Linked DNA regions of Tamandua tetradactyla. The protein of the gene in region 3 interacts with the protein of the main gene of each other region in a pairwise test. Links are inferred from orthologs where the notes say so. Each region holds a gene or a part of one and is shown on either strand. Other genes may lie near its edges. The genes, in order: CLIC3, COPE, EFHC2 and LONRF1.

The links.
Region 1: the proteins of EFHC2 (region 3) and CLIC3 interact in binary tests that used the Homo sapiens proteins (3 or more experiments, as listed by UniProt). The two-hybrid records come from large-scale screens. The link is inferred for Tamandua tetradactyla from reciprocal best matches to the Homo sapiens genes EFHC2 and CLIC3.
Region 2: the proteins of EFHC2 (region 3) and COPE interact in binary tests that used the Homo sapiens proteins (3 or more experiments, as listed by UniProt). The two-hybrid records come from large-scale screens. The link is inferred for Tamandua tetradactyla from reciprocal best matches to the Homo sapiens genes EFHC2 and COPE.
Region 4: the proteins of EFHC2 (region 3) and LONRF1 interact in binary tests that used the Homo sapiens proteins (3 or more experiments, as listed by UniProt). The two-hybrid records come from large-scale screens. The link is inferred for Tamandua tetradactyla from reciprocal best matches to the Homo sapiens genes EFHC2 and LONRF1.

Annotation. Positions count from the first base shown.
Region 1 is NC_135328.1:131,001,211-131,008,501, reverse strand, and holds CLIC3 (chloride intracellular channel protein 3), read right to left. Parts: upstream 2,871-7,291; 5' UTR 2,786-2,870; coding exon 2,750-2,785; intron 1,984-2,749; coding exon 1,874-1,983; intron 1,794-1,873; coding exon 1,668-1,793; intron 1,526-1,667; coding exon 1,419-1,525; intron 1,349-1,418; coding exon 1,173-1,348; intron 1,094-1,172; coding exon 935-1,093; 3' UTR 506-934; downstream 1-505. Other genes in the region: ABCA2 (ATP-binding cassette sub-family A member 2), read right to left, coding at 7,223-7,258. UniProt on the Homo sapiens protein: In the soluble state, catalyzes glutaredoxin-like thiol disulfide exchange reactions with reduced glutathione as electron donor.
Region 2 is NC_135337.1:95,906,743-95,913,959, reverse strand, and holds the start of COPE (coatomer subunit epsilon), read right to left. Parts: upstream 3,009-7,217; 5' UTR 2,948-3,008; coding exon 2,822-2,947; exon of another isoform or gene 2,706-2,821; intron 1-2,705. Other genes in the region: putative ATP-dependent RNA helicase DDX49, read left to right, coding at 3,305-3,434, 4,369-4,492, 5,288-5,373, 5,459-5,580, 5,821-6,008, 6,123-6,263, 6,969-7,044. UniProt on the Homo sapiens protein: The coatomer is a cytosolic protein complex that binds to dilysine motifs and reversibly associates with Golgi non-clathrin-coated vesicles, which further mediate biosynthetic protein transport from the ER, via the Golgi up to the trans Golgi network.
Region 3 is NC_135353.1:127,136,646-127,144,653, reverse strand, and holds the start of EFHC2 (EF-hand domain-containing family member C2), read right to left. Parts: upstream 3,004-8,008; 5' UTR 2,883-3,003; coding exon 2,841-2,882; intron 1-2,840. UniProt on the Homo sapiens protein: Microtubule inner protein (MIP) part of the dynein-decorated doublet microtubules (DMTs) in cilia axoneme, which is required for motile cilia beating.
Region 4 is NC_135352.1:16,311,313-16,319,233, reverse strand, and holds the start of LONRF1 (LON peptidase N-terminal domain and RING finger protein 1), read left to right. Parts: upstream 1-4,912; 5' UTR 4,913-4,928; coding exon 4,929-5,634; intron 5,635-7,921.

The DNA.
Region 1 (7,291 bases), on a different chromosome or scaffold from region 3:
CAGAGCAGAAATCACCCCACAATGAGCCTTTGAGGGGAAGGGGAGCACTGGAGACCCTACCACTGCCTCCTGCCCACCTTGCTCCTCAAGCCTCTTCCCATCAAATAAATGCTCCCTCGCAGCTGGAACAGCCTCTGCACCTGGGGGCTGGCCTGGGGGGGAATCTGGGAGCTCCGGCCTGTGGCCTGCGCTTGGGCTGGGCCCCAGGCCACAAACAGTGTGATAGTGCAAAGCTCTGTGCTCCTGGAAGAGCTTTCCTGGCGGGGTCTGGCTGGGAGAGTATCCGGCTTTCCCAGATCTGTCCACCTCTCCTGCAGGGCCAGCCCAGGAGCTGAGGGGGCGGTGCTCTCAGGGCTAATGGTCTTCCAACAGGTGGGACTCGGCTCCTACCCCCAGGGCACACGGCCCGCCCTACGCACCCCACCCTTCCAAACCACACCCCAGCAGGGCCATAGCCACGTGAGCACACACACACACATACACACAAGTAAATGCACCCAGTGTGTAGGTTCTATGTGGTAACATGTTTGACCCATCCAGTCCCCTCCCCAAGATGGGGGGCAGCTCCCGCCCACCTGGCCGTGAGCCCTGATGTGTCTGGGGCTGGGCCTCTGCTCCTCACCCACCTTCACCCTCCTGCCTCCCCACCCTGCCCTGGCCTGACTGGTTTGGGAGCCCAATCCGGTCCTTGCAATTTTTGTCACAGCCCAGATGGATGCAAGAGGCCCCAAGTCTGTGTGTTTGCTTGATGGAGAGCCTAGGGGGCTGTGGAGGGCTCTCCCCAACCAATGGCCTCTCCTGTCCTTGCATTCTGGGTAGGTCATCTTGAGGTGACTGTCCCACGCAGGAGGCTTGGGCAGCAGTCATCTCAGGGCCTCTGGTCCCTCAGATGTTGGGCCAGCGCACCCAGGGCAGAGAAGCTGGTGCTGCGTGGCTAGCGGGGGTGCACAGCGGGCCTGTAGGCCGCCAGGATCTCGGCGCTGTGAGGACACGTGTACTTGAACTCCTTCTCCTGCAGCGCGCTCTCCAGGTAGCGGCGGACACCGCGCAGTTCGGTGGGGACAGGCGCCTGGCGGAAGTGCGCGCACACCGTCTGCGGGCAAGGGGCGCGGGTCACGGCCTTGCGCAGACCCTCCGCGGTGCCCAGCCCGCCGCCCTGCGCCCTGACTCACATCCACGACGTGCAGCTTGGGCAGCAGGCCGCAGTCAGCCAGCGTGAGTTGGTCGCCGTCCAGGAAGCGGCGGCGGGACTCACGTAGCTGCGGCTCACGCGCAAGCTCGTGCTCCAGGGGCGCGCGCAGGTAGCCGTCCAGCTTGGCGAGGGCGCGCAGCAGGAGCTGGTACAGGGCTGGGGGTGGAGGGTGCGGTGAGGACCAGGCCCGGGGCTGCTCTCCCAGCCCTGTTCCCCGTTACCTCACCATCATCCTGCGCCGGCACCGGGTTCTTGATGAACGCAGAAAACCTGTGGAAGACGTCGTTGCCTGCCGTGGTGGACTCCCGGTAGCGGGGCGCCAGGCTGGGGAAACTGCGAGGGGGATGGGGGCGGGCCTTGCGTCACATTCCTAGGGGGCTGCCCACCCTCTCAGCGCCCCCAGGCACCCCCACCCAGGCTGTGCGGGTTGTTTTCTCTGGACCCATCTTTGCCCCTCTCTCCCTGCCGCCCTCACTCCGGGGGCCCCAGGGTCTCCTCCAGGAATTCTTCTATTTGCAATGTGTCTGTCTTGGCCTCGCCGTCGTAGAGCAGGATAGGCAGCTGCGAGCCGGGGGCGAAGTCCTTCAGCACATCAGGGGACCTGGGGGTGTGAGGCAGGCCGTGAGGGCTCTGGCAGGGGCTCCCCGGCTGGGGCTGGCATGTCCCAGGTGGCAGCCTCACCTCCGTGTGTCCACAGTGGTGAGCGTAAAGGGCACACCTTTGAGGAGCAGGATCATGAAGAGGCGCTGGCAGGAAGGGCAGTGCCCCACGCTCTCGCCGTCCTCGCTGGCCTGGGGTTGGCGGGAGGAGGGCGTCAGGGCCAGGAGCCGACCTGGGAGTCTGGCCACAGGCTGGGTGGGAAGTGCCTCCCGCGGCCAGTGGGGACTGGAGCAAGGCCAGGGCTGCCAAGAGAGTGGTGAGGGCCCTTGACTTGGGCCCTGAGCAGTGGAGAGAGGCCCAGGGCTGGGGTGAGACCACAGCCTGGGCCCTCCATCCTCTGCAAAGCCTGGGCCGAGGCCGGTCCCTGGGCTCTGGGCCCAGCAGGCAGGTCACAGGGGTGGGGTGGGCCCGGTGAGCTGTTTCCTCGGTGATTCACTCCACCAAACTGGGCTCCGTGGCTGGCACCGCACTAACTCCCAGCACCTCAAGGGTGGGCAGGGGCCAGAGGCTGACAGCTCCTGCACAGGCCCTGAACACACTGGCTGGCCTGAGGGTCAAGGGGGCTGCCTGGGCCTGCCCCTCCCGCCGCACTGACCCCAACTCTGAGGACCATTTCAGGGGCCCTTCCCACCAGGGACTTTCCTCCAGGAGAGTTTAGCTAGGCCCCGGGGCCAAGCTGGGAGCGGGAACACCATTCACTTAGAGGAGGGCTCCCAAGTGGCATTCCCCCCCCCCCAGGCTGTCCCCACTTTACTCAGCCTTGGTGGCCTGCCCGAGGCCCTGAGCTTCATTACAGGGGTGGGGGCTTTGTTACTGCCCTGAGACCCCTCTCAAGCCTGCCCAGGAAGCACAACCCCCAGTCTCCCGGCCCCTTTCCCCACCCAGTCTGCCCAGCACCTTGATGAACAGCTGGAGCTTGGCGGTCTCGGCCATGGTGGGGAGGCTGAGCCAGGGCGCTGGGCTCTGGGCGGGGGCCCGGGAGCTCTTTAAGGTGCTCTGGCTGCCCCGCCCTCTGGGCCCAGGCCCGCCCCTTGGAGCCACAGTAGGAGGGGGGGTGAGTAGGGGGAAGGCGGTGAGGCGGCTGCTGTTGGAACCTGTGGGCGTGACCACAGGGGAGCCCAAGAGCCAGGTGGACAGGGCTCAGTGGCCTGGAACTCGGGGCCACCTGGGGCAGTTCAGCCCTTGATCAGGCACACCACTGCTCCTGCCCCCCCCCATCCTCCCTGCAGTGAATACCCCATTGTCAGAGCCCCCAGCCCAGAAAACCAGGGTGCCTTTATTGGGGCTGGTGGGGTGGGACGTGAATGCCTGATCTCAGCCTCTGCCTCAGTTTCCCCATCTGTGGGATCTGGCCACTAGCAAAGTGATAAGCCCACCTGGGAGGGACGCCCCTCTAACCGGTTGACTTCGTCTGGCCCGTCCCAGCTGTACCTATCCCTCCCGGGCTCAGGGCTGTGCCAGCATTCCAGTCGTGCCCGCGAGGTGGAGGGAGAGCCCGCCCTGGTGTAAGGGAGGGCCCCTGCTGGCGCCACCCTCGCGCCCCTCGGAGCAGCCTGTTCTTCCCTTTCGGAAAGAAGCTCCGGAGACGGGTTAGGAGGCACAATCTCCTGACCGGGTGTTCAGTCCCCACAGGGGGCCCGTGCGGGCCCGCAGGTCAGCACAGGCTCCTGGCGGTCCCGTGTCTCCCGGGGGGGCTTGAGGAAACCACTGCCCAGATCCGCCCCTACTGAGGTCTCCAGCCCCGTCGTCGGGGGGCGGGGTTAGACCCCGGGGGCTCTCCGAGAGCTGCGGGGGCTCGGCTGCCACCTGGTGGCCACAGGCGGGATCGCCGCGACACCGCCCTCTCTCTCGCTCGCACTGCCCCGGGGGCCCTAACGCCAAGGCCCCGACTGGGCGGCCGCGGTGGCGCCTGCTCCAGAGGCCTATGCTCGCCCGCCCACTCTGCCAGACTCGCCTTTTTGCAAAGCCGCAGTCACACTTCCGGGGGCACCCGTCGCCTGAACCAGGACCCCGAGAATGTCCCAGACCGACATCCCCAGCGCCATGCCTCCCGACCCAGTGGGGCTCCCCGCACAACTCCCAGATCAGGAGTCTTGGGGGATCTGCGCCCCTGCTCGCCCTACACTTCAGGACTGGCCCTGGGGTCTTAGTTTCCTCTCCAAGTGCCTGCTGTGGTTGGAGAAAAACGGCGCCCCTCTGGTCTCCCACCTCCGTCGCAGCCTGAGCTCCTAGCACCTGCACTGCTGACCACTGTCCTTGGGGTACATACGTGTCTCTTATTATACTCTGTAAGAGAAAAGATGAGCTGTGCCAATGATGTGAACAGGTGTTTCAGAAAAAAAGGAAAACTGAAACAAGCTATGTGGAAAGGTTTCTTCACCTTACATATAAAAGAAACATCTGAACAAGATAGTTTTTCTCATTCCAACTGGCAGAGACGTGGGAGAGTGCATTTGGGGAGTGCACTCGTAGGCGCTAGCGTGGGCCCGGCTGGGAATCCTGAAGATTCCTCGCTGGTGCTGCACGTGGGCGCCTGAGCCACCCGCCGCTGCGGACTCCCGGAAGCCCCTGTGCCTGCCCTGGAAGGTCCTCGAGCCCCCTTCCACGAGGTTGTCTACGGGCACCTGTGTGAGCACACGTCTGACAGTAAGAGGGAGACAAGCAAATAGGAATGGCTTGTTAGGATCATTCTGTATCGTCTCCTAGGGCTTCGGGAACAAAGCACCTGGGCTGGGACCATGGCTCAACTCCTGTGACCAGGTGACCTCACCCCCCTGCCTGTCTCTCCTCTTTTAAGGACAGGCATCGTGAATTTAACCAATCACATGGGCAAAAGATGCTGCTTCCAGGAAAGGTCACATTCTCAGGTGCCTGTGGATGTGAATTGGGGGGACAGTGTTGAACCCAGCTCTACATCACTTTGAATGAAGCTCGGTGACCTCCTCTGAGCAGCAGCACAGAAGGTGAACTTTACCTTCTATCCATCGGTATTGCTGAATTCTCTACCACATTTTCATCGTCAGTGTTTTAAGGAAATTCATGGTCACCAACCTCAACCAGAGGCAAGGTCCGTTTAGCTCCAAACCTCCTGCCCCCCTCAGCACACTCTCCTCCCCGCCCCTCATCCTGCAGGGGCCTTGCCTCCCCTGGATTCAGAGTTGCCTCTGGGGCCTGGCATCTGAGCATTCTTCTTCTTTGCAGGTCCCTGGGCTGGAGGCTGCCGCCTGAGGTGTCAGGACTTGTCTCGTGTATCTGTAAAACCCCTGAAGGACCCCTCTGTAGATGCCCCCAGCGTCATGTTAATGCAGGCACGCTGGGAGGGGGGCAAGGAGGACCTGGGTGCAGGGGGGTTCCTGGGGAGGGGGTTGGGGGTAGGCGCCTCTCCTCCCAGCTCTGGGCTTGGGGGACCTGGAACAGGCGCTGCAGGCACAGTGAACCCAGTGCCCCAGCTTCTAGGCTCTGCACCCACTCCCCGCTGAGAGGGCTGAGACCCGACAGACATGGCTGATCCAGGACTGCGGCAGGAGAGGAGGGAGCACGCCTGGGAATCCTGTAACAAATTCAGGAAGTGCTCAACCAAATAGGCACCGGACACGAAAGCTGTCTTGAAGGGGTCCCATGGGCCAAACTTGAGCAATAAAATCGACCCTAGTGGATTATATTCACTTAAGGAAGAAAAAATGAGTCTGCAGTGACATTTTTAAAAGGGGAATGGTCTTCGGGAGAAAAATGGCAGCTAATAAATGCAGAGAGGATGAAACACTTAGGAAATCCCCACTAGTGGCATCCATGGAATAAATAAGCATTCCTGTGGGCCCAAACCACCAGATACCCGGCCCAGAGGGAGGGAGGCCGAAGGTGGTGGTCCACCTGCCCCTTCTTGGGTGGCTGTCACACCTACCCAGCCCCTCCAATGCGTAAGGGTCCCTACGGGTCTGGCCAGCTCAGTACCCTCCTGGGGCTGTCCCCCACCCCAGGGACGGCCTGCACTCCAGCAGTCCCCAGCATTACCTCCAGACATGGCTTCAGGACCATAAATGGGCTGCCTTGGCCCCCGAGGCCCCAAGTGTGTGGGTCTGCCGTCACCCTTCCCTCCCTCCCTCTCTCCTTCCCCATGCCCCGCCCCCACCAGGTGACCCAGCCCTTGTGCGTGTCCACATTGCCCTGTCCTGGGGGGTCCTCTACTGACGTCTCAGCTCCTGGGACCCCGCCCTTCCCTCTCGGGGCTGACTTTCCTGTAAAGCACCAGGTCCTGGGAAGTTGACTCAAGGGAGGCAACAGGTTCTGGTGCCCCAAGAGGGCAGCAGGGCCTCCAGGCCTGTGGGTGGGATGCCTGTGGCAGCCCCCAGGTGCTCCCTGGCGTGAGAGAGCCCTGATGCCCCAGCCATGGAGCCTGAGGGAGCTGGAGGGGGGTGGGAAGGGCAGCACTGTGGAGGCAATGGCCCTCCAGCCCCTCCCCCAGACTGCCCAACGGCCCCCTCCCCACGGCTGGGCCCTGGGCCAGGGCTGCCTCTGCCAAGATAGACATTCCGGACGGGCCCATGGGGCAGATATGGTGGCCAGGCTCCAGCCCAGCCTCGGGGCCCTCCGTTCCCCAACACTCCACCTTGCACATACCACTTCGATGGGGTCAATTTTGTTTTTTATTTAAAACAAACATCTGTGCGCTATGTACAGGTCAGGCTCCCGGCGGGAGGGCTAAGCTGATGGGAGAGCGGCAAGTAGCTGGGGGGCTAAGGGGGGCTAGGGGGGCTGGGGACGGTGTTGGGCCCCGGCCTGGTGGCAGGACCAGCTTCTCTTTTCTTCCAGGCACACATGCCACCCACCCGAGACAGCCCCGGCCCCTGCCCACGGCTCCCTCTGAGGACCCACCTGCTTGAAGTGGGGTGAGGGAACCTCTCCTTAATGCAAAATAAATAGGGGAAATGCCGCAGCCACCCCTGCCCGGCCCCACAGCTCCGGGCCCTGCCGGGCTGCCTGCCAGCATCCAGGGTAAGAGCAAGGCAGGCTCCAGGCACTGCAGGAGAGTGGGGCGCACAGAGCGTGGGTGGTATGGCTAGGCCCCACAGTGATGGGCAGAGCAGGGCAAAAGCAGGGCCACAGGGCTGGGCTGGGCCCCGAGGCTTTAAGGCAAAGCGGGGTGAGGGTGTGTGGCCCGTGGCTGGGCCAGCCTTTGGCACAGTTGGGAGTGGGAGGCCGAGGTGACCACAGGGCAGGGGGTGAGGATGGGGTGGGGGGTGGTAGTGAAGCCTATAGCCCCCGGACCCCCAACTCCAGGACCTGGTGGGCAGGCTCTGGGGGTTCAGGAGTGGGGCCTCAGCCTCTACCCGACTTCTGTCCCTAGCCATGTCCTGATCTGGCCCCTCGTAGTCAGCAGAGTGTGTCCGTGTTGAAGGAAAGCTGGGCCTGGGGGACAGCAGGCAAGCCCGTTTAGGGGTG
Region 2 (7,217 bases), on a different chromosome or scaffold from region 3:
TCTCAGTTTGTGCTGACCTGTCTTCAGTGTCCCCCCATGATGGAGCAGGCCAGCGGCTCAGAGACCAGCCACCAGCAGCCACCAGCGAGAAGTGGGCATTTGCAGCCCCTTCCCCACAGGACGGGCCCCACTGACATTGCACTTTGGGGTTGAGATTAGGTTTGCGTGTTATGAAGTGAGAAGATTCGCACGGCAAGTTCACTTCAATGTCAGAGGGGGCCCTGGAAGGTGAGCTTGAATGCGACTCCGAACCTCAAAACAACTCTAGATATAGGTGCCATTACCTCGTCTGACAGAAGGGGAAACTGAGGCTCAAAGCAGTACAGGGGCTTGGCCCGTCCCAGAGAGAGCAGAGCAGAGAGGAATACAAGCTCCCGGCTGGGAGCCAAACACAATCACGGCGTGTTCTTGTTTCCCAGCTACTAAAACAAACACCACACTGGGCCAGCTTAAACAGCAGGAATTTACGGGCTCACGGTTTTGAGTCAGGAGACGTCCAAAATCAAGGCACCAGCCAGGCGATGCTTACTCCCAGAAGCCTGTGTTCCACAGCTAGGGGCCAGCGAGCCCGGGTCCTGGGGAAATGACGTCTACAATGGGGCTTCACTCCCAGAACACAGACACAACCAACACGTCCAAACTGCGGGGAGGTGGGATTCAGAGAAGGCCCCAGAGGCCAGAGAAGGCCCCAGAGGGAGGTGGTGGGAGGTCAGAGAAGGCCCCAGAAGGGGAGGTGATGGGAGGCCAGAGAAGGCCCCAGAGAGCTGCACCCCGAGCCTGGCACCGGCAAGCAGCTGACGCATCACAGAAGGGGCTCTGCAGTTCACATGGGAGGTCCCGTCAGACCACACGTGCAACAGGGAATTCGCTCAGTGGGACCCGGAAGGGATTCAGCAGGAGGAAAGGTCAGGAGATTCCAAGCATAGAAGGATTTGCCGCATCATCGTGGGATCTGAGATGGAGGGGGAGGACCAGAGAGTGGCAGGAGGGTGGCCTCAGCTGATGGCAGTCAGGAAACACCTCAGTCCCACAAGGATCAACCTGAACGAGCCCATGTCAGCCGAGGTCTAGCAGAACTGACAGGATGGATAAGTACAAATGTAAATATTAAGAGATACGTGACAGGAACATGCTGTAGGGTAGCAAGTCTGAGTTCCATAGGGCAGGCCACAAGCTGGGAACGCAATGAAGATTTCCATGAACTCCCTGGAGAAGCCGGTTGAGGCAGAGGTGGAAATTCTTCTTTCTGACTGCAGAAATCCTGTTAGTTCTCCCTTCAAGGCCTTCAACTGATTGGATGAGGTTTCTCTCATTGCTGAAAGCAATCTCCTTTGTTGATTGTAGACACAATCAGCTGCAGATGCAATCAACTGTCTAATGCTTCAGATCCAGAAAATACCCTCCCAGAAGCAATCAGGCCAGTGCTTGATTGACAAAACAACTGGGCACCATAACCTGTCCAAATTGATACACTGACATAACCATCCCAAGCCTAGAAGCAGATTCTCCCCCAGAGTCTCCAAAAAGGAACATACCCCGTCTACACCTTGATTTAGCCCAGTGAGACCCAGGCCAGATGTCTCACCTACGGAAATTGTAAGATATTCCATTTGTGCTATTCTAAGCCATTAAGTTGGTATGAATTTGCTTCAGCAGCAACACAGAACAACAACTACACAAATGTTGTTTCCACAAATCCTAACAGCTTACTAAGGTCCAGGACACCGACTCAGAGAAACCAGGTGAATCCATCAGGTGCCAGAAACAAGGCAAGTGTCCAAATTCCTCCTCAGCCCTCTGTCGCCTTAGGGCTCCAGCAGTCTCTCATGCCTTCAGAAAAAACTGCAAACTCCTGCTATAACCACCTCATTCTCTGTCCTCCCCCTCATTCACCCCATTTTGGATCACAATAAAGAGGCCCAGGCTGGCTTCTTCCACCGTGACCAAGCCATGCTTGCACAACTGAATGGCATCCTTCAAAGAGATATATTGAAGTCCCAACCCTGAGCACCTTGGGACGTGATCTTACTCAGAAATAAGGTTGTAATAGGTGAATTAGACAGTTAAGCTAAGCCTGTACACATGACTGGTGTTTGCATAAGAGGGGATCTGACACAGAGAGGAGGACGAATGCCAAGGATTGCTGGCAAGCCACCACCAGAAGCGAGGGGACAGGCACAGAACAGAGGTTCCCCTACAGACCTCAGAGAGAGCCCGGCCCTGTCCACACCTTGACTGCGGACTTCTGGTCTCCAGAACTATGACCTCATAAATTCATAAATCTTTGTCGTTTTAAGCCATCCAGTTTGTGGCACTTTGTTACAGCAGTCCAAGGAAACTAAGACACCTACAAATGCTCAATAAAGAATGAATGCGTGAACAAGCAAGTGAAGGAGAGGGTTTTGGGAGAAACAACCGGACTAGTCGGGCAGGATAGCTTCGGGAAAGCCACTTTCCTTCCGGAGCCTCGCTGCTGTCAACTGTACAATGAGGACAGACATCCCCACCTCACAGGTGGTGAACGCACAGCGGGCACTGAGCGGGCGCTCGGCAAAGGGACTCAGGGTTCGTTACGCTGTTACTACTGTTATTTACCGTGACCCTCGTTAGAGCGCTACACATTGCTCCTAAGTCAAACGCCTGCAGGGCGCAGAGTGGGCGCTCAGGAACAGGAAGTGGTGCCGCCTTGGGTTTCCTGACGGAACAACGGAAATGCCCCGGCGCGCTCTGAAGGGGCGAGCGGAGGGAAACCGCCTCGAGGAGACGAAGGGAAATTATGAGAAGTGAGCGCGGCCCGCGATCACCCACGCCCCGGCCGCACCTTCACCCGCTGCGCCTCGTTGATGCACTGCTGGTAGCTACCGATGTAGAAGGCGTTCTTCACGTCAAAAAGCTCGTCCACCTCGCCCGGGCCGCCGGGGGCCGGGCCGGGAGCCGGGGGCGCCATCTCCTAGTCTCACTCGCTTCTCTTCCGGAGGGACACGTCGGCCGGAAGCAAGCGCCCACCGCGGAGCACGCCGGGAAGTGTAGTTTTCCTTGTTCCGGGAGGCTGAGCTCTGAGCCAATGGGAGGCTCGTAAGCCGAAGTAGGGGGGGCGGAAGACGCAAGGGCCTCTCGCAGGGCATCTCGGGAATTGTAGTTTAGCTGGGGTCTGGCATTCGGGGACACGCGGTAAAGAGGCGGTGGAGGCCGGGAATGGTCAAGTAAGCTGAAGGGGGCGGGATCACCAAGGAGGAGTAACCAATGAACGAATAGGTTCTCGTGACGCCATTGGCACGCGCCGGAAGCGCGGCTCACACTGTTCATGCTCGCGGCGAGGATGGCAGGTTTCGCGCAACTCGGGCTGTCTTCGTGGCTCGTGGAACAGTGTCGGCAGCTGGGTTTGAAGCAGCCCACGCCCGTGCAGCTCGGCTGCATCCCCGCCATCCTGGAGGGTGAGTACTCCTCACCCTCCGCCTCTCTCCGCCCCCCTTCCCTTCTCGCAGCCTTTGCCTATGGCCGGTCCCGAGGCGAGGACCAGCCTTTAGCGTGCCGGGCCAGCCTGAGCTCCGGAGGCACCCAGGACTGCGATACCGTTTAGACTGCACGATTCGGTCTCTGCGTGTCTGCAGACAAGTGGCTTAACCTCTCTGAACTTTCCTAAATGTGAAGCACAGATCGGGTTTGATGAGTGACTTGTCAATAGTACTGTGGGATTTGGCAGAGCGGGACCTGCTGTCTTTGTTTTGCAAAAAAGGAAACTGAGGCTGTCAAAATTGGTGCTGGATCCTGGACCACGTGGTCCCCTGACCGTCCTTCTCCCCACTTTCCTTGCCTAACTCTGTTTTGCCATTTAAGACGTCCTGGGAATTTCAGTTTTTTACTGCTTTCAGCCCAGTCTTTCTACTCAGTGTCCTGTTAAAAAATGAGAGTTGTTTGTGTAGGCCTAGTGCTCCTTTGGGGGGATATTTTAGGGTGTAACAAGTTGAGGCCCTGCGTAAAAGGAAAGTGAAGGAAGCGCTGTGGAGTGTAGGATGCAGGTTGGGGGAGGGCATTCCAGATTTCCCAGTCCCGGATGCTCCAGACGAGTGAGAATGAGGCGGTGGCTAGCAGCACAGCATCTTGGGTCAGGTGGACATGAGTTCTCTCCAGTCCTTCTAGTCACCAGCTCTGTCCTGGGCGAGTCCATGAGACTCAGCATCTCTCTCTATTTAATGGGACTGGTGATGGTTTCTCCTTTATATGGTGATTGCTCACGTGCCAGGAACTTAAAGGATACAGGCTGGAGCAGGGTTTGCAGTAACTACTTATTAAATGCCGGCTGTCCTAAACTGCCGCATGGAACTGTTTGTGGAGCATGTGGCTGCTGCTTTGTCCTCCCCTGCCCAGGTCGGGACTGCCTGGGCTGTGCCAAGACAGGCAGCGGCAAGACGGCAGCGTTTGTCCTGCCCATCTTGCAAAAGCTGTCTGAGGACCCCTACGGCATCTTCTGCCTCGTCCTGACTCCCACCAGGTAAGCCCCCCACGGACACCCTGGGTGTGATTAACTCGCTGTGTTCTCTGGGACAAATACCTTCACTGCTCTGTGCCACACTTTTCCCATGTGCAAAATGGGGTCAGGCATCGAGCCCAGAGCCTCAGCAGAGAAGTCCAGAGATCCATACAGTGAAAAATAAGAGTGTTCAGTACGACCCAGCCATTGACTGGCACGAAAAAAAAGGACAGGTCCCGTGACAAGCAGTGAAAGCTGAGTGCCAGGCGGTGTGCATTTAATTGGATCTGAGGAGAGGGGTCACGGGAGGCTCTGTGTGAAGGATGCCAAAGGGTCACGTGGGGATGAAGCAGTGTAGACCAAAGAAACCGCGAGTGTATCTATGCAGGGGTGTAAGGAAAAGATAACAAAAAGGTGGTGGAGGCAGCTCACGAATGGCCTTGAGTGCCAGGCCAAGGCTTTCGAATTGTTTGAGAGGTGTGAGCAGAGAAGAGGACGCAAGCCAGGGAGGGGGTCCGGGTAGAGCTGGGACTTTGGGGCAGGGAGGAGGGGACTGGGCAGGGCAGAGGAGGCTGGTGCTCAGGTTTCTCTGGCTTGGGCGCGGGGGTGACTGGCGAGGCCATTACTGAGAAGGGGACCATGGAGCAGATGCAAGTTTGGGGTAGGGGCAGGTGCCAGTTTGGGTGGAGTTAGAGGGAGCTAAAGGGACTTGGTGTGGATGAGTTGGGAGGCCAGGAGGAGGCCTGGAATAGGGTGGGGACGGGCGGCAGGGGCGGGCGCTGTGCTGGCCTCAGTCCAGTGCCTGTGCACCCACAGGGAACTGGCCTACCAGATCGCTGAGCAGTTCCGGGTTCTGGGGAAGCCGCTGGGCCTGAAAGACTGCACCATCGTCGGTGGCATGGGTAAGGGGGTGCCGGGGGTCTCCGGGCCTGGGACCCCCAGCGTCCTCAGAGCCCCACCCAGCCCCCGCTCCTCCTCCGCCCACAGACATGGTGGCCCAGGCCCTGGAGCTCTCCCGGAGGCCACATGTGGTCATTGCCACGCCAGGGCGCCTGGCCGACCACCTCCGCAGCTCCAGCACCTTCAGCATCAAGAAGATCCGCTTCCTGGTGAGCTGGCTCGTCGGCCCCAGGCCGGGCTCAGCCTTCACATGGGGGGCTCAGATCCGTGTCGTCCCCCTCCCCCTCCCAGCAACAATGGATCACCCAGCAGAGTGTTAGGAACTGAGAGGAGGGCAGCCTGGGGGACCGAGCAGCCGGGGCCGCACGCAGCTGAGACTGGCGTGAGGAGGGCGCTCCCAGGAGGCAGGCGGCCCTGGCTCATGGGCCTCACCCCCATCTACCGGGCAGGTGCTGGACGAGGCCGACCGGCTGCTGGAGCAGGGCTGCACCGACTTCACCGTGGACCTGGAGGCCATCCTCGGGGCAGTGCCAGCCCGGCGGCAGACGCTGCTTTTCAGCGCCACGCTGACCGACACGCTCCGGGAGCTGCAAGGCCTGGCCACCAACCAGCCCTTCTTCTGGGAGGCCCAGGCCCCGTGCGTCCCGGGGGCCCGGGGTGGGAGGGATGGTTGGGGGGTCATGGGCGTTCCAAAACCGTAGACCGAGCTGGGCAGGAGAGAAACTGAGCTCGACGGCCCTGCCCATGCCAGGGTCAGCACGGTGGAGCAGCTGGAGCAGCACTACCTGCTGGTGCCCGAGAAGGTCAAGGACGCCTACCTGGTCCACCTGGTCCAGACCTTCCATGACGCACACAAGGACTGGGCCATCGTCATCTTCACCCGCACGTGCAAGTGAGCAGGCTGCCCCGCCCAGGCCTCGGGACCCCAGCGCCCTGGTCTCTCCCCAGCAGCCACACCAAGGCCACAGCCCTGGGCTGGGCAGCAGGTCCCGGGAGCCTGGGCACAGTCTGGGCACATAGAGGCAGTTGGCTGAAAGCAAAGCTCAGGGTCGGGCCGTGAACCTGGGTCACCCAGCCCAGGGCAGGCTGGGCCCCGCTGATGCCTCAGCCCCTCTGCAGCTCTATTGCCAAGCAGCCCTTGAGGCCCCGAACCCCCTGGGGAAGCTGCCATGGCCCAGGGTGTCACTAATGCACGGATGTCCAGCCCGTACCTAGCTGGTGGGCCTCTCAGACTACTTCACATTGGCTCCTACCAGAGGCTGGTCTGGCACGAGACAGGTTGGCTACCCCACCCTATGCCAGGGAGCCAGACTTTCTAACTGGCTGTTTCCCAAGGAAATATATCAGTTACCAGAAAAGTGAAGGGCTGGCTGGAGAGCGGCTGTCAGGTACGGCGGGATCCAGCAGCTTACATGATGCTGACTGGTCTCTCTCACTGCCTGTTTCCCGACTCTCCTTCTTGTGGGTGGCAGAGTTTGGTGACAGCAGACCTTCCGGCACCAGCCACCCTCCCCCTTCCTGAGCTGTGCGGGGCCCCCTGCTTGGCTTCTGGGGGGAACGGGGTGGGAGGGGCTGACAGGTGTGTCCTCACCTCCAGGACCTGCCAGGTTCTGTGCATGATGCTCCGCAAGTTCGGCTTCCCCACCGTGGCCCTGCACTCAATGATGAAGCAGGTGAGGCCGGGCCCTGCGCCCCGCACCAGCCACGGGGACTTCACCCTGGCCATGCCCTCCGCTGGGAACATGCTTTTAGCCATCCTTGCTGCCCCTTCTCCCCGCTGCCCACCCACACCCAGCTTGTCCCCGTGCTGAGATGCGGCCTGAGCCCCCTTGCTTTCCCAACCTGG
Region 3 (8,008 bases):
GTGGGGAGATGAGAAGTCAAGATTTGGCTTTACCTTTCTAACCATTCTATCCCATAGATCATCCAATCCTTTAACTAAGTAAAAGTTTTAAAAATAATACTATTTGGGGGGCAACATACATCACATTTAGTACCAAAGCTAATGCAACAATTTTTAAAACGCAGCCACTTGATTTGGGCACATACTAGGACGCTTAACAAATAAATATTAATTGGTTGAATGACAGACCAAGGTATCTATCTAATTAATACCCTCTTCATTCTCTGGACACACACACTTTCATTGGCCTCAGGAATAAAGTAAATAATCCTCTGGTTTTTTGTGTTTATTTTTAAAGCACATTCATGAGTGTAGAAACAGACCTGTGGCACTTGATTAATGACAAAGGCTGTTCTGCAGAGAAGTGGAGAAAGGGGGACCTTTTCCAAAAATGGTCCTAAAACAACTGAATATACATATGAATAAAAATTACCACCTGAACCCCACCTCCTTCATACACACAAACAAAATGTCTTCTAGGTTGATTGTAGATCTAAAGGTAAAATAACAAAATTTCCAGAAGATAACATGGGAGAACAGCTTAGAAAGCACTAACCTAAAGGAAAAATTATTCATTAAAAAAAAAAACAATAGAAAATTAGACAAGGGACAAACAAGCATTGCACAAAGAGAGTATCCAAATGACCAATAGATGTATAAAATATGCTCAGTCTCATTAGGAATCAGGAAAATGCAGATTAAAACTACAGAGAGTTGTGTTACATCCACCCACCAAAATAACTAAAGTTTAAATGAATAACAATATCAAATATTAGAAAAAAAATATGGAACAAGAGGAACATAAAATGCTGGTGAGAATTTAAATTGGTATAAAGACTCTGATAGTGTCTACCAAAGCTGAACATATGAACACCACATGACCCAGCAATTATACCAAAAGGTATGAACAGGAATAGAGCAGAACTATTCTTAATAACCCCAAACAAGCCAAATATCTATCAAGAGTAAAATGTATATACAAATGATGTCATTGTTCACACAGTGGAATACTACAGAGCAATGAAAACATACTACCTGCCTCCACAGATAGCCACATGAACAAACCTTATAAACATAATGTTGAGCAACAAAAGCTAGTCAGGAAAAAAATAAACACCAGATGTTTTCATTTGTAGAAAGTCCAAATGCAGGTAAAACCTAACCATAGTTATAAAAACCAGAATAGCGGTTATCTTTGGAGAGTGAGGATAGAATGATCAACAGAAAAGATCAGAAGTAGGATTGCTAGATAAAATATTAGACACCCAGTTAAATCTGAACTTCAGATAAATAATAAATGATTTTTAATATAAGTATGTCCCATGCCATATTTGGGACATGTATTTTTATTTGCTAAATCTGGCAACTCTAGTTATGGATTACAATTCGGAAGTACTGGTAATGTACTATTTCTTAATGTTCATTTTGTGATCATCCATTGTGTATTTTTCTGTACATATATTGTACCACACAATATAATAAGTTAAAAAAAAAGCAAAAGTACACTCAGTACATACAGCCTTGCAAATTTTAAAATAGCACATCCAACCACTGCTTTTCTTTCCCACACTTAATGTTCTATATGAAAGCTATGATACTTCTGCATGAGGTGCAGCAGTAATCCGAAGTGTTGTCTGGCCAAAAGTTGTGGGCTGTACTTTCAATCTTTATTAAAAATCATTTCTTTTACAGAGCATGCTTCTTTACTTCCAAACTCTTTTTTTTCCCCATACCCATCCTCCCCGGATCCATTCTTATTTGAAGGACTGGCTTAATACCACCAAAGGCCAATGCTATGCTGAATGGCCAGCCTCTCCCCATCAGCCAAGAAATGCCCAAATCAGTACAAGTCAGAAAGAGCAGACCCTATGTAGGGGTCAGAATCTAACGGCCTAAAGCTACAAAGAAGGGGGTTACTCTAGGGCTAACAACTTGGATACACTGTCCTGAACACATAAAGCTGAATGCTTCAATTGGCCACCTGGTTTCTAAATTTATCAGAGGTTTAAGTAAATATCCGGAAGGGTTTCATTTAGTTCTCTTCCATTGATCTATTAGTTACCTTCTCCTTCAGACACAACTGGCAAAACCAAGTAAAGAGTAGTGACCAATGCAGACAAAAGTCCCAAGCACTTTTCTTCTGCTGTTTAAATAAGGTGTTATTTATTGGCAGAAGTTCATCAACGCCCAAGGATTTTTGTGTGTGTTTTGTTTTGTTCCTTCATCTTGCTTTGAAATGGATCCTCCCGATTCTGAATAAAGAAAAATTTCTCCACGTTTGGATGCCACCCTGACCTTCAGCCCCCTTGAGGTTTCTTCGCTTTACTAACAAGTACTATATTTATCTCGTTCACACAGTGATTTGAGGAAAATGATTAGGTTCCCTGGACTATGAGACTGTGTAGCTTTGGACCAGTGAGTGAGGTCGCTCTGTACTTCAGTTTCCTGAACTGTAAAATGGGAATCAACATAGCATCCAATTCAAAGGGCCGTTGGGAGCATCAGATGACGCGTAAGGCGATTAAAGAACAGTGCCTGGCACATCTTAAACGCTCAACAGTAATTCTTAAGTATTTTCATCATCACTATCGTCTTCACTACCTTCAAGGGTCCTGCCACCTGTTAGGACTCATGTATCTGATGTAGGAAAAGCCCCCAGATGCAGTTGGGGGAGGGGGGAGCGGGTGTAGGCGAAGAGGTAAGGGTTCCACTAGGCTATAAAGTTGAGGCAACCCTCAGGAGAAGAACCAACGGCAGGAAGCCTGGGCCGGAGCTCTGACACCGGCTCCCTAGCTACTCACATTGCGGTTAAAGCTGTTGCCGGGCAGCAGCGGCAGAGTCATGGCTCTGAGCGTCGGAGGGTTGAGAGAGAGAGAGAGAAGAGGGGCGGCCTCTAGGCCTCAGGTTGCGGCCGCCTAGGGCCGCGTTGTTTGGCCCATCGGTTACCTGGAGACGGGAGGCGGTGTCACAGAGGGGGTGGGGCGAGGCTGGCGGGGGCGGAGAGAGAACCTCCCCCTCACTCACCACCTCCCTCCCGCCCCGCCCCGCCCACCCACACAGGCGCTCAGCCGAGAGCAGGTCTCCAGAGTCTTTTTCTCAGTCAATGCTTTGTGCACACACAAAGGCTGACAACCGCACCACTTCCCGCCCCCGCCGCTTTCTGGTTTAACACTTTTATAGATCCCAAAGCCTTTCATGTACTTAAGAACCTTCCATCCTTGCCACAATATTTTTTACCGTTTGGTTCTGAAATTGAGTTATTAAATAGGTCAAACATACAGAAAATAATATGGCACCCGTGTACCGACTGAGAATTAACATACATTAATGTTTTCCTATGTTGCGCTTGCATCAGCTTTAATTAATGGAAGACATTCTAGATGAATCTAAAGCCACACATACCCCACCCATCCCCCACACGAAAATTTATTCATTAGCCACCATCCTCAATCCTTCCCCTGTGTATTTTTATATTTGAAGTAAACATTTGTAAGTAAGATGCTCATTCTTGGTCCAATCAGTGGGGTGAAGCAGCACAAAAGGCAGCCCATCACTCCATCCACCCAAGATGCCCAAGGCCAGGAATTTCCGCGATTCCTCTCCCCACACTTAAAGCTAATGCCTCGCCAAGTCCTACTATTTGGATATTCTAGTAGCTTTTAATTACCACTTCCTTGATCTCAGTTGAGCCCCTATTTTTCCTTGCCCGGTTTTCTTCTTTAAAAAAAAAATAATAATCTAACTGATTTTGCCTTCAAAACCATCATTTAATACTTTTGTAATTCATGATGCACCTGTTACTCTACCATTTAACTAGTCTATCCTTCCTTCCACCTTCAGAAGGCAATCAAACTCCTTAACCTGATCTAAAGAGCCTTTCTCAGAGGATACCTGCTGATACTCTCTCTGTCCCTTTCATTGCCATCCCTCCTATTCCAGCTCCGAAAAAATCACTAGTAATTTCCAAATCAGGTCCTGCAACTCCTCTGGGGTTTTGCAGATAACATGATCTGCTTGAAACACCCTTCCTGCCTATCTTTCACTTGCATAATCCCTTCATGTCTTTCAAGACTTGGTTCAGTGTAAGAGAGACACATAGAAGACTCTACCATTTCTGTGACATGTTCCCTCACTTTCTCCAGCTCACCTCTTATGTGTATTAGGGACTGATCCATAATGTGGTTTTTATCCCACTATGTTGTAATCATATGTTCCCCCAAGTTCCTCCAAGGGCAGGAACTATAGTGCCTTTTTTGCTTTCGTTTGTTTTGTTGTCCAAATTAAGACATCAAGAGGAAGATACCTTCTCTGAGGAAAGGCTACCGGCATCCTGGGTTTGGTTTATTGGTTTCATGAACATTAAAGTATAAATATAACAAACTACTTGGAATCCTGGGTAGAACATGAGATTTTGTTGGTTTGTCCAGACTGATGCCCCGATGAATCCCACAGGGATTTGATCAGTGAGTGGAAAAGTATTTGCAAAATCCCCTTCGGGGAATGATGAGAACGGGGAGAAATTCAACTTCCCCAAGTTGAATTCTTGATATTCTCACAAGCAGTGCGGACAACCAAAGGCTGGGCCCCCAGTCTTGGGGTTTGTTCATATGAAACTTAACCCCATAGGGGATAGGTCAAGCCTACTTGAACTTAGGCCTAAGAGTCACCTCCAAGAGAGCTTCTTTTGTTGCTCAGATGTGGCCTCTCTCTCCAGCCAACACAACAAGCAAACTCACCACCCTCCCCCTGTCTATGTGGGACATTACTCCCAAGGGTGTGGACCTTCCTGCCAACGTGGGAAAGAAATCCTAGAATGAGCTGAGACTCAGCATCAAGGGATTGAGAAAAACCCTAGAATGAGCTGAGACTCAGCATAAAGGGATTGAGAAAACCTTCTGGACAAAAAGGGGGAAGAGTGAAATGAGACAAAGTGTCAATGGCTGAGAGATTCCAAACAGAGTCAAGAGGTTATCCTGGAGGTTATTCTTATGCATTAAGTAGATATCACCTTGTTATTCAAGATGTAATGGAGAGGCTGGAGGGAACTGCTTGAAAATTTAGAGCTGTGTTCCAGTAGCCATGTATCTTGATGATGATTGAATAATGATATAGCTTTCACAGTGTGACTGTGTGATTGTGAAAACCTTGTGTCTGATGCTCCTTTTATCTACCTTGTCAACAAACGAGTAGAATATATGGAATAAAAATGAATAATAGGGGGAACAAATGTTAAAATAAATTTAGTTTGAAATGCTAGTGATCAATGAAAGCGAGGGGTAAGGGGTACGGTATGTATGAATTTTTTTCTGTTGTCTTTTATTTTCTTTTTGTGAATTGATGTAAATGTTCCAAGAAATGATCATGATGTTGAATATGCAACTATGTGATGATATTGTGAATCACTGATTATATATGTAGAACGAAATGATCATAAGAATGTTTGCATTAGTTTATTATGTTTTTTTAATTTAAAAATTAATAATAAATAAATAAATTTTAAAAATAGACCATATCTTTTCTGGGGTACATAACAGATTCAAACCAGCACAGGATCTTTTGCTGATGTTTATATTGGCAAATTTGTGATTATCTAATTTATTTCTAGCTTTTTTATGTCCTCGATGACTGCTTTTAAGCATAGCAAAAATCTCACTATTGGTAGTTTGTCTTTTAATTCCATTTATTGTACATAAATTTGATATTTTATTCTATTCAAATGCATCTTTCATTACCATTATGGTTTGTGCTTTGTATGTGAAATCAGGAAATCTTGTACTACTCCTAAAGAAGTTATTCTCCTACTTTTTTTACAAACATCTTTAAATATTTATTTTTGTTTGTTTTTAAATTGAAATAATTTCAACATTATAGAAATGTTGAAAGAATAATATAAAAAACTCCTGTTTACTTTTCACTTGATTCCCCCAATTGTTTCATATTTTACCCTATTTGTTGTATTATGCTCTCCCTATATACATATTTTTTCCATTTGAGATTAAGTTGCAGATATGCCCTTTTACTCCTACATAATTCAGTGTATATATCCTAAGATCAAGGGCATTCTTTCACATCACTGAGGTGAAATTACCAAAATCGGAAAATTGGCATTAATACAATGCCATTTTCTAACCTAAAAAGCACTCAAACTTTGCCAACTGTCTCAATAACGTCCTTTCTAGCAGTAAATACGGAAATACATAAAATCTGGTTCAGAATGTAATCAAAGTTCACACACTGCACTTGGTTGTCATGTCTCTTTATTCTCCTTTGATCTATAATAGTCTTCAACCTTTCTTTAACTTTCATGACCTTGATATTTTTTACGAGAATAGGCCAGATATTTGGTAGAACATCCATCAATTCAGGTTTGACTAATGTTTCCTATTGAGTACATGCAGGTGATGAATTTTGGACTGGGACACCACGGAAGGAGTATTGTGTCCTTCTAGTTTATCATATGAAGAAGCACATAATGTCTATTTGTAACATCATTGGTGATCACTTGGTGAAGGAGATGCATGCCAAGTTCCTGCACTGTAACATTTACAATTTTTTCCTTTTTAATCAATAAGAATTTTGTGAGGAGATACTTTGAAATTATATAAATATCAAGTTGCTCATTAAACTACTAGTATCAATTAATTATTTTTCCTGAATCATTTATTACCATGATAGTTGCCAAATGGTGATTGACTAACTCTATCACTCCTTCTACATATATTATTATATTTGACATTCTCCTACAAGGAAGAGTTTTCCTTCTTCTCCATTTATTTATGTCAAAGTGATCTCACAGATTCTTATTTTATTCAGTGAATTATAATCCGCTAGTATTCTTTATTTTGATTCTAAAATTGTCCAAGATTGTCCTCTGAAGCTGACTCCTGTGTTCTTTTGATCATCCCCACTATTTTTTGAGCACTTCCTTTTTGATGCTATAAGATACTATTCCAGCTCATTTGGTAGTTTCCCTGCCCCAACCCTGGAATAAGCCATTTCTCCAAGTATCACTGATTCCTTTTAGTGGAGAATGGTAAATATTTACCTACTTGTTCAATACTAGAAGACCCAAGAAGCAGTTTCAGAACATCTAACTCACATTCTTGTGAAAAATAAGTGAATAACTAGAGTTTAATATTTTCTCAGTGTTTTTTTGTTTGTTTCTTTCATCTTAGTGTATATAGTCATAATATTTTGTTCAAAATTTACTTAGGTTAGCCTTTGCCCTCTATCCCAGTTTCCCCCCACACCAGCTAAAGTGTTTATACTACTCATCTGAAAAACATTTGGAATCATTCACTTCTGTTTGCATTCCATGTTAAACTTTTATTCTTCATCTTTGTTTCTTCTTTGTCTTTCTTATTTGATACAGTTGTTTTTCTCCTTTTTTGGTTTGATGAATGTAGCTAGTGGTATATCTATCTATCTATCTTTCTATCTACCTATCTACACATACTTTTTTCCAAAGTATCAGAATTTTGACTTATTAATTTGACCTATTCATTTCTATTCTTAATCCTCATTATTGTTTGCTTTTACCTTGTTTTCTTCCTTGTGCTTTCTTTTCGTTCATTTATTGTTCTTTTTCTTGCTTTATAAGTTGCAATATAATTCATTTTCATTCTTTTATCTTTATTGATATAAGTGCTTGAGGCTATGAACCTTCCCCTGATCTCTAAACATATCTCGTAGACTCTGATATGTAATGTTTTTATTACTTGTTGGGTTTTTCTTAGATATTCTATAATTTTTTTACTCGTATTTGCCTTTTCACTCAAGAACTGTTTAATAGAAGATTTTTAAATTTCCAGTTCGAAGAGGGTTATTCTTTTTGTTTTTTTATTTTTCTTTCAATTCTAGTTTTATTGCATATGTTTAGAAATTATTGTTTGTAACATTTCTATTTTGTAGAACTTACTGATGCTTTCTTTGTGACCTAATATTTGATCAATATTTGTGACTAGTCCAT
Region 4 (7,921 bases), on a different chromosome or scaffold from region 3:
AGGATCAGGGAGCCCACAGGAGATGGAACCAGAGATGTTGGAAAGTGGGGAAAGATCCAGAGTTGACTTCTGGGGATGGTAAGGACTCTGGATTTTCTTCTGAATGGAACAGGAAGCAAATACTGTGTTTTGCAGAAGAACATGGCTTCTGTTTTAAGATGATCACTCTGGTTGCTTTGTTTCTGCTGGAACAAAGGGGGGTAATGAGAGAAGCTGAGGCCATTTAGGAGGACGTTGCAGTAGTCAGGTGAGAGATGATGGTGGTTTGGACCAGGGTGGTATCAGGGGAGGGTAAGAATGCATCAGATTCGGTATATATTCTGAAGGTAGAACCAGAAAGATTTTTCTGGTAGACAAGATATGACTATGAGAGAAAGGAGAAATGGAGAAAATAAATTTTACTAGTGTGTTAATGATAAATTAATTTGTCACTAAAAAATAAAAAATAAAGATGAAGAATAATACTAGGTGATATTTTTACTTTTTCTTTTTTTTTTTTTTTTGGAGGCAGGGGGAGTCATTCAACAAGGATTATTTAGTATCTTTTCGCTTTTCAGTGTCCTAAGTGCCTAGAGATATATGGGCAAACAAGATGGGCAGAAGTCTGAGCTCTCAAGGAGCTTATATTTGGGGGTAAGGGTAAGGGGTGGGGATTGTTGGGCAACCAAGGAACAAGGATAGAGAGTACCAGGGGAGTTCGTTCCTGGTTATTCTTAGAACATATTAAAAATAATTTATGGGGTTATTCCTCTATTTTTTAAATTTTATTTTATTTTTTGGCATGGGCAAGCTCTGGGAATTGAACCCAGGTCTCCAGCATGGCAGGTGAGAACTCTGCCACTGAGCCACCATTGCCCACTCTATTTCTTTTCTTTCTTTCTTTTTTTTTTTTTTTTGCATGGGCAGGCACCGGGAATTGAACCCGGGTCTCTGGCATGGCAGGCAAGAACTCTGCCTGCTGAGCCACTGTGGCCTGCCCTCTATGTCTTTTTAAGAGCTTAATATTGGAAAATACATTCATCTGATCAATTTGACCACCAAGAAAATCTAGATGACCCACTTAGAATCTCTAGATTCTTCAGCGTATTAGGAAAGAAGAATTAAGAATGGAGCCCTTAGTAAGTCCCTGTACTTTGAAAGCATTCCCCCGTGGGGATAGCAGGTTTTAGTAATGAACAGTAAACTGTCCTTGGCTAGAGAGTAGACACTGTAGCAATTGGGTTTGGCCATCTACTTCCCATCACCTCTATTTAACCTACACAGATTGTCCTCATTAGGGCTTTTCAAAAACTTAGAACACCGTTAGAGCAATCATATACTGTATATTTTTAGCATCTTACATAAACTTTCCCCCAAATGCCCAAGTTATATAACCCGCCTCCACAGGCTTTCCTCCAGCCTCTCAGAGATTTACAGTAGGGGCTAGCAGATATGTGAGTGTGGGGGGAGTGGGGGGGGGTGAGTATGAGTGGGAATGGGGGTGGTCCCTGTCCAGTGACTGAAAGTATTCATGTCCCAGAGATTGGTTTCTCCTCCTCTGAGCAGGGTGGTTGGATGCTAACACACTGTGCTTCTTGGTGCCCTCAGCCCTCACCCTCTGCTCTTACATTCCCATCAGGTGTTACGCTGCTCTGTTCCAGAGTCGGAGAGATTTGCTGCCTCTTCTCATTGTGCTCAATAAAATCCCTACAGCGTCCCTCCAGCGGCGGAAGGGACCTTCAGAGATCTTTACAGTTCCTTCATTTTACAGGCAGCAACTGAGGCCAGGAGACATCAGGTGACTTCCTCCTCTCCATTCTAGAGCCATAAATATGGTCAGCAGATTCCCTACCCAGTGGGATTTCTGTTAAACCAGCAGCTTCTCAGCTCTCTATTCTCTCATATATATATATGTGTGTGTGTGTGTGTGTGTGTGTGTGCGCGTCTGTGTGTGTGTGTGTGTGTGTGTGTGTGTGTGTGTGTGTGTGTGTGTGTGTAGGAAGGTGGACTCTAATGCCCCTCCTGTCTGTATCTTAGGTTTGGGTATATACCGATTAAACTTTAGATTTTACTGTTTTCAGTGCATTGTGTAGAATGTTGTTAACCGAAATGAGTCAGGGTGAAGACATACATTTTGCTTGGCTCTTTAAAGGCTCTTTAAAGCTTCAATTCAGTCTTTTTTAATGATAAGAATGTGAAGAAAAAATGGTGAATTCACCCACATGAAAAAAAAAAGGTTCAAATATACATCTTAATCTAGCTTATGTATAAAAAAACCACTGTGTTATGTTATTAAATAGGAGTTTACCTAACTATATCAGGAAAAGTCTCCTTATGGTGTGGGGGTGGAGCTGGGATAAAGCAGGGAATGATGGTGATAAGCAGTTTCCAAATTAGGAAACAGATACGTTTTTCTTCTTACTCTTACATAACTGATCTCATTTTAGAAGACACTAAAAAACTGAAATGAAATGCAAGTCTCACAGCTTTACTATTTCGTGAGCAAAGAATGACAGGGGCAAGTAATGCTTAAAAGGAAAAGAGAGGAGAGCTCTTTGCTCCTTCATACTCCTTACCGTCCAGAGGCTAAATTGCAGGATTCTTTTCTCCATCTCAGGCTGCAGGTTGAGTCAGAGATCAAAGTCTAAATTTTAGACAATGAGTGAAAAAAAGATCATTTCTCTCTCTCCTTTGAATTTAAAGAGAAGCTGCATTAAAGTGCCTGTATATCCCTTTTTGTCACACAGAATGACAGAAGAGTGACCTGTTGTACTGCCGGTGATTGCTTTGCCCCAGACTTCCTGAGTCAGAGGGAATTTGTGCGGCACACAAAAGCCACAGCAGCAGTACAGCCTCTTACATAAATAAGTTACATAAATGAGAACAAGTTATGTAAATGTATAAACCAGCAAACATGAATTACAGCCATTCACAAATGCCAGGGAGAATAGAGCAAGATTCCTCCCAGCGTCCCATTCTTTTTCACACATTATCATAATTGTGCCATTTTATTTTATGCCAGAATTAGATTTGGTTATTTGTCATATTAAGGAAAGCAACTCCAAAGGACAAATGATACTACCCATTATTTTCTGAACCACACATTTTACATGGGGGGGGGGGGATATCCCACAATAAATGTGTGTGGGCATCTGACTAAAATCTTTGTTCTGCTTATTGAGGGAAGGTAGTAATTTAGGGGGTTAGGATTAAAGGTTATGCTCCTGAATTAATCATGCCCACCACCTCCCACCACAAATGATTAGGAATTGTTTTTTTGGACCATAGCTGCAATTTGTTTCAGGTACAATGTGCATGATAAATGAACTTGTTTGCCCATGCATTCTTTTGCGACAAGAGCCTCCGTTTTTCCTCGGTGAGCTCTTCATTCTCCTCCCCACTGGGGGTAATGTAGCTATATCTTCTCTGAAGTTACTTGATTTGCTCATTGTATAAGAAAAACAAGTGTGACTCAGAACAGGCTTAACTGTTCTGGATAAAGAGGTATATTAATTGTTAGCCAATTTCACACATAATAGGCTCAGTTTAATATCCCAGCTAGCAACTTCCTTTACCTTGGAAATTCATGAAAAACTTTTCTAAGAATTAACATAGTATTGTAATAATGGGATAAGAGCTGACTTTAAAGCCTTTGTACTCTTCAGATGGATTGTATGGCGTCTGAATATATCTCAATAAAAATGCATTTACAAAAGGGAAAAGAACTGTTAGTATATTAACTGTGTGATTTTGGGCAAATAACTTTCCCTGTCTGGGTCATTGATTCCCGTTTGAAAAAGGACTAAAAGTTGTCTTAAGTCACTTCCAGCAATGGCAATTTAATACTTTACAATCAAAACTATAATTATTTATAACTGAGACCTGTAAATGCTGCTGCTAGTTTAAAGGAAATATAGCCCTATATATATATATATATATATAAATTTTTCCTTCTGACGTCAAAACTGCGGACCTTGCTTCAGTTGTAATGATATCGCAACTGTCATTTGAAAACCAATTTTCCTGGTGTTTTCCCTTTTAAAATGACAAATATAGACATTAGCCTGCTGTGGGGCAGTGATTGTGGCATGCGAAGGACAACGGGCATCCTCTTTGGCGTGGAAGACGGGTTTTAAACAGGAAAGAGCAGTAACTTGCACCTGGAAAAATCGCCTCGCTCTCTGGAAGGAGAGACTTCTTAGGAATGTGGGTGGGTTTTGTTTGTTTCTAAGGTTGACCGACTCTAGACTTGAGTCACAAAGTCACCAACTGAGTCTGAGCATCTCTAGGCACTCCGCCTCTACCTGTCCATCTGTAGCTTGGGGCATAAACTAATGAAAATGCAGACCTGCACCTGACAATCAAGACACCACCCCGCAGCCTCCCACTCATCAGGCAGAGAGGGCAGGTCCCCACCCAGGCGGGTGGGTCAGGAGAGGGTCAGCTGTCTGAGCTTCAGAAGAGCGCCCACCAAACAGGGGCTGGGGAAGAAGAAAGAGGAGAGGCCCTGGCAAGTGGGGTGCGTCCCGTGAGAAGGCAAGGGAGACGGAGATTCCGAGCTCCTTTGGGCTTTGTTCAATAACAGCAAGCCGGGCCCTTCCTTCCGGGAGAGGCCAATTACGTCCCCGCTGGGGGATCATCTGACCTCTCTTCCTTCGCGGGGAGGGGGTCTGGAGTGGGCGGGGCCAGCGAAAAGCTCCTCCGGAACCGGGCCGCGGGGCGGTGCGGAGGAGTCCCGGACGCCGGAGCCCAGCCAGGCCCCGCCCCGCGTCTGGCCCCGCCCCTCCCAGCCCCGCCTCCCGGGCTTCCCGGGCGCGCGCCGCCCCGCCGTGTCCGCGCGCCACGCCCCCCTGCCCGCGGGCCGCGTGGGAGCCGCGCGCTCCGGAGGCTCCCGGACCGTGGCGGCGGGCGGGCGGCGGCGGCGGCGGCGGCGCGGCCCTCCCGGGGCCATGTCTTCTCCGGCAGTAGCGAGGAGCTCCCCGGACGGGAGCCGGGAGATGGCCCCCAGGTCGCGGAGCCGGGCCGGCTTTTGGGAAGTGGGCGGCGGCAGCGGAGACCGGCTGGAGCGCGCGGCCGCGGAGTCGGAGCGCTGGGAGCTGCTGCTCCGCCGCGGCGAGCTGCTGGCGCTGGGCGGCCACCTGAAGGGAGCGCTGGAGGCTTATTCGGCGGCGCTGCGCCGCGGGGCCCCGGCCAGGCCCGAGCGCCTCGGCACCCTGGTGGATTGTCTGGTGCTCAACTACCGGCTCCGCCACGGGCTGGGCTGGAGCGCGGCCCCGGCCGCGGGAGCGGACGCCGGCGGGCTCCTGAGCTGTCTGGGCTGCCGGGGCTTCCTGAGCGAGCCGGTGACCGTGCCCTGTGGCCACAGCTACTGTCGCCGCTGCCTGCGGAGAGAGCTCCGCGCCCGCTGCCGCCTGTGCCGGGACCGGCTGCCGCCCGCCGCCGCTGATGCTGAGGGGACCACCCCGCGGCCGCCGCCTCCGGCCGCCGCCATCGCCGCCTCGGGCTTCAGGACCAGCGTCGTCCTCAACCACCTGGCGGAGAAGTGGTTCCCGGGCCAGCGGGAGCGGGCCCAGGCGGCCGGCCGGCTCTGGGAGCTCCTGCACCAGGGGCGCTACCGGGAGGCCCTGGCCGCCGCCTGCGAGGCGCTGCAAGCAGGTGACCGCACGGGGATGCGGCGCGGGCCGGGCCGCCGCCACCCTCCCTTCCCCGACAGAGCGGGTCTCGGGAGTCTCTTCCGCCCCACTGAGGTGCCCCGGCCTCCCCGAGGCCTCCCGTGGGCCGGGTGTCGGGGTCCTCGCGGGTGTGGGAGGGGGCGGCGCCCGGGAGTGCTTCGGTCACAATGGGGATCGCCTTGCGAGCCGACTGTGACGCGGCGCAGGGAGGGGCGCCCCGGCGCGGGGTTCCCGCCGCTCTGCGCTCGGGCGGGCGCGTCCGGAGCGGGACGGTGCCCCGGGCCGAGGCCGCGCGGCCGCGGGATGGGGTGGGAGTCGGGCGAGCCGGGGCAGCCCCTCGCTTCCTCCCGCGCTCTTTCCGGTCGTCAGCCGCGGCCTCCCGCCGGTGGGGGTGGGGGTGGCCGGGCAGGGGGGATGGGGTTGATGATAGTGGGGCCGGGAGAGCTCCCCGGCCCGGGCAGGGCGTGTAACGTTTACCACCTTCTCCCACAAAAGTCACCCAGGCAATTGGAAGCCGCGGGAGGGCACAATTGCATAAGCTGGGGTGGGGGTGGGGGTTGTGTAACGGGTGACGTCGGGGGGCGTGGCGGGAGCTCCGCGCCCGCACCCCCAGGCCCGCCCGCCAGCCCGCCGCTGGGCTCCCGGCGGGGTCCGACCTGCTCTGGGACGTTCAGCTCCTGGCTGAAAATGCCTTCAGAGTTGCCCCTTCTCTCGTAGGGTTCAGCCTGCCGATTTCAAGTCCAATTTCTGTCATATTCATGTGTACCTGCGCGCTTGTTTTCGAATCCACTGAGTTGGTCGTAAGGATAAAGAGTCTCTGGTGGAGTTTTGTGCCTTGCTTCTTTTTGCCTTTCCAACCTTTTTCAAGTCTTTTGTCTCTTTCTTCGCCTCCAGGGCGCCGCTCTTGCTTCAGAACTCATGCTTTTCTTAAGGTGTTTTGAAACTGTGGAAGGAGGCAACGTCGAACGGCCGCGAGTGAAGTGAAGAGCTACTCCTTTAAATAAATTGGTTGTTCTCAACGAGGGGGGATTTTGCGTCCCCCGTTTGGCGACTTCTGTGCACAATTTTGGAGGTCGCTACTTGGGAGGGGGTTGGTACCTAGTGGGCATCTGGTGGGTAGAGGCCAGTGTTGCTGCTAAACATCCTATAAGGCAATGGACAGCCCCTCACAACAAAGAATTATCAGGCCAAGATGACAGAGGTGTTGTTAATAAAGAGGCTAAATTAGAATTAAATAAGAATGTTTCAAGATTTTAATGTCTATATAGGTATAAAATATTACTTGGGGGAACAATCGCCAAGAAAATAGACATTTAAAATATAAGTTAATGTTAGGAACTAAGTAAGTTTATAAACCATGTAACTGGAAGTTTCTTGTTATGGGTCTTTCCCTTAAGAGCTTATTCATTTTGAATTAGTGACAATATCAAGTTTTTTAAATACCTTTAGAGTTCAAAGCACAAACCCAGCATATTTTCATATTTTTTCAGCATCTGTATGAGGAGTAGGCAGTTAAAAAATTGAACAGAGTGATAGTCCTAGAACAAAAGAAATTTGTAGTACAGGATTCTGGTGCAGAGAACTTTACCTCTCAGGGTGAATGGAATAAGAGTTGGGAAACTGGACTTGGCTGTACAGATTATCTAGCAACTATCCATGGTCTTCATTTTTAAAATGAAGAAGCAGAAACCAGGGCAGAGAAGTAACTTGTTCACAGCCACACACTGGCTGTTTTCCTAAATATTGCTGGTTCAGGAATTAAAGCTGCCTTTGTAACTCGCCCAGTGAAAATGTTTAATATACATTTCCAAGAATTTCTTTTGACACTAGTACAAAATTGAAGATGAAACGTATTGAGAGCATTATTTAGTATTAGCTACTAATTTAATCATTAGAACCTCAGGTTAGGTCCTTTTTAAGTATTCATTTCCTAGCCCATGGGAAAACAGTGAAGTGTATTTACTAATTAAGGTCTAGTTTAAAGTTCTATGAATAAAGAATTTTTTTTAATTGATGAAGATCCTGGATCTTGGATTGACAATATTATTTTTCAAAAAAGGCCTGAGAGTTCTACACTTCTCTCTCTTTAAAATTTGCATTGGCTAGCAATGGAAATTTTGCCCACTCACCTACTATTCTAGTTTGCTAGCTGCCGGAATGCAATATACCAGAAACGGAATGGCTTTTAAAAAGGGGAATTTAATAAGTTGCTAGTTTACTGTTCTAAAGCCGAGAAAATGTCACAGTTAAAACAAGTCTATAGAAATGTC